2 linked regions of the Nothobranchius furzeri genome follow. The protein of the gene in region 1 purifies or fractionates together with the protein of each later gene. This does not show direct contact. Links are inferred from orthologs where the notes say so. Each region holds a gene or a part of one and is shown on either strand. Other genes may lie near its edges.

Region 1 (4,250 bases):
GACGGGGCTTTCTCTGTAGCAGCCCCTAGGCTCTGGGATGAGCTGCCTTCGAGCATTAGGTCGGTCTCTACACTGTCTGGTTTTAAATCTCTTTTGAAAACCTACGTTTATGATTTGGCTTTTAACTCAGCATGGGTCTTTTAAATGTTACTCCCTGAGCCAGGGCAGGTGGTCCAGCGGAGTGTCGATGCACAGCATCCTTCAGTATTCTGCGTCGGCCAGAAGAGGTTTAGGTCTGGGGGGGAGGAGGCTGTGGAGGTTGCTTCTTACGGACTACAGACTCCTGCTGGATGGCATCAGATGGTTGAGAGGGAGCCTGGAGGTATCAGCTGGTCGTTCCTCAGCAAGTGGAGAGAAGCGGTTAGAAAGACTGAGGTCAGGGGGGGGGGGGGGGGGGGGCTCTCCTACGGCCACGTACCACAACCTGTGGCCAAGATGAAAAAGGGTCAGGAGCAGAGCTGGAAGTGGGTAGTCGTGGTGCAGCAGGATCCCAAACAGTGGTGTGGTGGAGCAGAGAGTTCTGATTGGACGTTTCTTTTTCAGACGGACTGATAAGGTCTGGGTCAGTGAAGGAAGACGAGATCTGAAACTATCCAGCAGAGAGTCGTCGTACATCCTCTTTAGCATCTGAATCCTCGTCTTTGCTTTAGAAAGCATCAAGCCGTCGTTGTGGGGCGGAAGGAGAGGGAGGACAGACGTTCAAGACAACTTCAAGGTTGCAGAGCTTTAGCTGAGCTGCCTCCGAATCCAGAAATTGGTGAAAGGATAGAAACTGGTTTTGAGAGGAATTAGAGCACAAAAGAAGGAGCTGACGTAAACACGTCTGCAGGCTTCTTGAGGTGATTGTAGTTCATCATCACCAGGGTGAAAGTGTGTGTGTGCATGGGTGAGTGGCTGATTGTGTTGTGAGGCATCTTGGGGGGTTGTAGAACCCTAAGAAGCTATACAAAAAAAACCCATTTACCATTCTGACCAGATGCCTGAGCCACCTCAACTGGCTCCTCTCGCTGTGGAGGGGCAGCGGCTCTACTCCGAGCCCCTCCCAGATGACCTGTAGCCGTGATCTCGTTCTTTCGGTCACTACCCAAAGCTCATGACCATAGGTGAGGGTAGGAACGTAGATTGACCGATAAATCGAGAGCTTCGCCTTCTGGCTCAGCTCTCTCTTCACCACGACAGACCGGTACAACACCCGCATCACTGCAGATGCAGCACCAATCCACCTATCGATCTCACACTCCAGCTTTCCCTCACTCGTGAACAAGACCCCGAGATACTTAAACTCCTCCACTTGGGGCAGGACCTCATCCCTGACCCGGAGAAGGCATTCTACCCTTTTCTGACCCAAGACCATGGTCTCAGATCTAGAGAAGCTGATTCTCATCCCAGCTGCTTCACACTCGGCTGCGAACCGCTCCAGCGAAAGCTGAAGATCACGTTCTGATGAAGCCAACAGGACCACATCATCTGTTAGCATCAATCCATAAAGTGTATAAAACTTTAAACTTTCTTAAAATATTGTTGTTGCTTCTGATCAAAAAGGATGATTGAAGCAATCCCTTCAGCTGATCTGGTCCCCCTCAGGGAGGAGGACCAGGAGGACACCCCCACCCCCCACAGACCCGTTGCTGTGTCGTGTTGAGATGATTGTTGTTCTCATACCTGCCTTTCCTTTAGTTGTTGCTAGGTTACCACGTTTAACCGGGGCGGGTAATTTTCACTTTAGAAGTGGGGGGGGACACGGGGGGGTGGGGGTGGGGTATCTTTACGGTATGTTCTAATGGGAAACAGGCTTCAACACAAACGGTTGTTTTCTGCTTGGTCCTAAAGCTCAACCAGTGTCAATTTAATATAAAGTAATATTGTTTTTGGATGGTAAAAAGCGCAGGGGTCAAAACTTGACTTTGGAAAAAGTGGGGGGGACATGTCCCCCCTGTCCCCCCCCAAAATTACGTCCATGGGCGGGAGGTAAACCCTGAATCAGAAACGCTTTTATTTGTGCTGCATTGATGCAGCAAGAAAAATCCAACTTCTCCAGGTGAGTGAAGTCCCATCACTGAGCGGAGGCCTGTTTCCTTCCTGAATCATAAATAAACAAAAACAATCTGACAGCTGCTGCTCAGAGCTGGACTGGGCCAGAACCAGAATCCACGGGTCTCAGAACCACAGCGTTCTGATGGATCCGGTCAGAGGCCAGAGTTCAGCCCGACCATCATCAACAGACACATCAGAACCAACATCCGGTTCTGATGAGGCAGAAAACAGGCCGGTATGGATGTGGTGCGCGTGCACGCCTGTGTGATGTTCAGTGATGCTGACGAACCTGCAGGATCCAGTCAGGCTGCGGCCGACTGACCCACTTCCTACGGAACCAACGAGCTGCTGGCTGCCTGCGGGCCGAACCGGCGGGTCCACACACACACACACACACACACACACACACACACGAGGCGGTTTCTGACCGAACCCTGCGTGTCCTCACCTGGACGGAGGCGAGCAGGATCCCGGTGAGGAGCAGCGGGACCAGCATGATGCGGGTCCGGGTCTTGGGGTCTCTAGAGTCCGGCCTGCTGGATCTCAGTCTGCTGCATCCAAACAAAGACGGTCCTTCTTCTGCATCGGGCGATGCTCCGCGACCCGAACCGTTGTGAGGTTGCGATCCGCTCCAATGGTTTCGCTTCATCTACATCTTCCTCAACCGAACCGAGCCTGCTGAGACGGACTGGAGATGGGCCGGACTCTAGGGTCCATTCCGGGGGCTGAAGACTAGCAGGAGGTCGGTGTCGGTGAACGGGATGGAGCTGCAGCGCGACGAGGCCCCGCCCTGAGCGGGGGGAGGAGGGAGGGGGTCATGACGTCTCGTGGAGCAGATAGGAAGCCCTGTCCCTGTCAGAGTCCTGATGGGTCCAAGTCTGGGTCAGGACCACTGTACTCTCCACAGGATACCATCTATGAGTAGCTCTGACCCAAAAGGTTCTGGCAGACTGTAAAGACTGGAAAACACCAACAAGTCCTCACACCTGCCAAATGCAGTCTAATCAGAGGGCATTGCTGTCTCAGAGAAAACTAAAATGGTAAATTCCTTCAGTAATCTTTATCAAGTCCAGCCATGTCTTTGCAACAGCTTCACTCGTCTCCGGGGTCTCTGACCTCGACTCAGCTAAGCAATGATTCCCTCTCCACACCCAGTTCCTGTTTCTCCGTTCAGGTGTTTCAGGTAAACGAGGTACTCGGGTTAGATCCTCATAAATCAGCTGGACTGGATACTCTGGATCCTTTCCTTCTGAAATAGCAGCACGTGTTATTGCTGCACTTACCCATCTGTTTAACCTGTCCATACAAACTGGTGCATGTCTGCAGGACTGCTTCAGTTACTCCACTCTTTAAAGTGACCAGTGACGACATGTTTTTTCTTTTTTTTTTGAAAGATGGCGCCGGTGTGTGTGGCAGCTCGTCTATTGCTCCTGAAGCTTTTTTTCTGCTTCATGTTAGTTTTTCTTTCCTTGAAATTTAGCAGTTCTATCCGGGTGTATGATCGTAAAACCTTGCTCGGGATTCGCCAAGCAGCTGAGGGCTTATCGTTCTCTGGAGGTTTTGGTCAGAATGGATCGCCACTACTGGATGGTTCTTTGGGCTGCGTGTGCTACGTGGCAACCTTACCTTGATGGAGGAGGCGCCGGAGACGGGGGAAGCGTGCCGGATGCTGGATGAAGCTGAGATCGGCTCGACGTGGAACGTTGGATGCTGTGTGTGGAGTTGTGGGCTCAGAGGGGGACGGTGGGTCGCCGGAGCACCAGTTGGATCCGGTGCCGTTGAATCTGGCGGCTTCCAGATTGGTATCGGTGGTGTGCGGCGGCGGGATGATACAGTCGCGGCGCCCTGCACCACAGCGGCGAGCGTGCGGGAGAGGAATTCACCGACAAAATCTACTTGAGGTGATATGTGAATCAGCAGAGCCCTCGCCAGTGAATCCAGAAGAATTGACTGTAACAGCATCTTCTTCCGTCATCAGGTTTGCTCTGTCTAACGCCAGATCTATTATGAATAAGACTTTTATTCTGAAGGATTTTATTGAAACAAATGGTCTGGAGTTCCTGTGTGTTACTGAATCCTGGGTCCCTAAAGATGAAACTGCTGCTTTTGTGGAGCTTCTCCTGGATGATTTTACATATTTTAGTGTTCCGAGACCCTCGGGGCGTGGTGGAGGATTGGCAGTGATATTTAAGTCATCAATTATGTGTAGGCAGGTA
Region 2 (2,621 bases), on another chromosome or scaffold:
CCATCCTTTATAGTTGTGTATGTTTTTCTACTGAATAGGGATCAAAACATGGATGGTAAACATCTGGACTGAGACTCACTTTACGTTGGGACACTCGTCGCACACGGTCTCCTGAGTCATCTGGAAGCGTCCCGGTCCCAGCTGTGTGGTCTTCATCTCCTGTCTGCAGTTACACTTTCTTTTACCAGGAGCTTCTTTGGCTACAGGCTTGTTACGCACAACCTGCACAACAAAGCAGTTCAGCAAATATTCAGAAAACAAGACACAAAACTAGAAGGCTCTGAAGTTTAAAACAACAAGTCAATTAGGAGTACCTCCACAAAGTTCCCCGAGTACACCTCCTCAAGCGTGACCTCCAGATCAAGTATTATGTCATTTCCTCTGGGGATGTTCTTGTCCTGTTGCTGCCGGTTGCCTCCGAACATGAAGCCAAAGTCTCCAAAGAAGCTTCGCATGGAGAGGAGCAATACCAGTGAGTAAATACAGAGGACAGGTAGTCCACACAACAGCTACCATCTGTGGTGACTGTGTTCCACTACGCTTCTGTGTTTGGAGGAAAACTATCCTAAACACAGTTTTGTGACCTTTTGGCTCTTTTGTAGATTTGTAATTCAACAAATTTGTGTAGAATTTGGTCTGTTCTGCTCAAATAATGAAAGTTAACTTTCCAAAAGCCTTGTCCTAATATCAACAATGGTGTTTAGAGTCAGGAAATCTGCATATTGAGGGGAAAGTGTACATTTAAAAAGTACTAAGATGTTTCAAGTAGTTTATTTTTCTTGGAAAAGGAAACATTTGTAGATGAGTTCTGATGCAGCAAATAAGATACACCCAACTGTGTGCAAGATCGGTTTCTGCTGCTAGAGAACACACATCCTTGGGATTTGCAGACATTAAAATATTTAATCCTTTTTTTTAAATCCAGTATGTTGTGTCATGTGGATTGTAGCCTATACTGCCACCTACTGAACAAATACACTAGCATCCTCACCAGACAGGGCTTCCTTCAAATATAAACCATGCACAGGTACACATGTTCCACCAGTCAGTAAATGCACTGGACAAGAGCCCTGGTGGGCCCAGAGTGGGCCCCTACCACAAAAACTGGAGCTTAAAGAGCAAGTCACCCCCAAACAAACTTTTTTTTGCTGATAAACTAAATAAACGAGTGTCTAATCGTGCTGCAGACACGTGTCGTCAATAATTTGACACTTCAGTGCATCTTAGTTAAAATTTAAATATTCTGTCTAAAACTGTCAGTGTTGTGCCGTTGTCAGGTAAAAACTCTGCACTGTATTTTAATTTAAATCTGCCATCGCTATTGGCTAAGAGGTATGCTATGATGTAAACTGGTACATTATGATGTCACAATGCTGTCGTGAGCCTGTGTGTGTGTGTATTTGTTAGCGGCTCCGCCCTCTCGGTCTGCTAGGCAACAGCATGTGTTGCATTTTTCAAACAGGAAGTGGGAGTTGAGTAAGAATCTGGTAGGGGGTGACTTGCTCTTTAAGGACAATATTGGGCCAAGACGCAAATGTCCCGTTTTTAGCTAAATCTAGTAATAAAGCTACATATCAGTGGTTTTTCTTTGTCTGCTGATGTTCTGTTGCATTGTTTGTGGAAACAAAAGATGATCATTTCAAATCTGCAACAAAAAAAATGCATAGCATTTATAAATACCCTCCACAAACCCTACCACACCCAGATTGATCTGAGTATTCACATTAGTATTTGGTAAACGTATGCCTAAGGGCGGTGCGCGGGTGTGAGGGCCTAAAGCGTAACATGCACCCGGGCCCAGCTTGACCATGCTATGGCACTGGGCCATACCTTGGTCTACCCATACTGTAGTTTTCATCAACACAAGGGATCAGGCTCTCCAACCCTGGTGCTTCCTGTCCAAAATTTGATTTGATTTGCTGCTCCAACAAACCCGATTCAGCTGTTGAATTACCTGTTCAACAGGTCATCCAGCTCTCTGGGAGCCTGTTAACCACCTGCTGACTAAAGTCAGGTGCGTTGAAGCAGAGAAACCTCTAAAATATGCTAGAAGTGGATCACAGTTGGGATCCCTAAAGCAGAAATCCAGAATTTTTTTCTCAGAGGCACCATCTAGAGGCAAAAAAAGTATTGCACATAAAACCCCTCCACCTACTCCCATGATTACAGCTACAAGCAACTCTTATTCATGAATGGGCACCTGTAGCCGGTTAATAGAGCTAAGACAGTGTTTTACATTTATTATTTAAGTGGTGGTGGGTTTTATAGATACACATATATCAGGGTTTCCCCCAGGCTTTGCTTACCAACCCGCCAGGCTAAGCGTCATGCCCCACACCCCTCCCCGACCCTACCGTGTCCGCTGACACGAACGGCGCAACGAAACTTGAGCCCTCCATCAGCTGATACTGGTGAGAACGCAAGATAACATATAGTCAACAAAACTGTTCCTGTTTCAAGGCCTTAAGCGTTCTCTTATCGCTTCTACAGGATTCCTCTTGCCTCCGAATAAAAGTGAACATTTTCAGCTCATATGAGTTACGGTAACTAATCATATAATGAAATTGACCATATGGTTAAATGAAATGTTTTGATTAATCTGTGCTTAGAATTAATAAGAA

The links. Proteins that work in one complex are often made in the same cells at the same time.
Region 2: the proteins of ptpro (region 1) and dnajb11 purify together in Homo sapiens (affinity purification with mass spectrometry; 3 studies listed by BioGRID and IntAct, with this or other methods). This does not show direct contact. The link is inferred for Nothobranchius furzeri from reciprocal best matches to the Homo sapiens genes PTPRO and DNAJB11.

The regions. Positions count from the first base shown.
Region 1 is NC_091741.1:32,996,975-33,001,224, reverse strand, and holds the start of ptpro (receptor-type tyrosine-protein phosphatase O), read right to left. Parts: upstream 2,821-4,250; 5' UTR 2,684-2,820; coding exon 2,483-2,683; intron 1-2,482.
Region 2 is NC_091754.1:36,587,053-36,589,673, forward strand, and holds part of dnajb11 (dnaJ homolog subfamily B member 11), read right to left. Parts: intron 448-2,621; coding exon 315-447; intron 223-314; coding exon 80-222; intron 1-79. UniProt on the Homo sapiens protein: As a co-chaperone for HSPA5 it is required for proper folding, trafficking or degradation of proteins.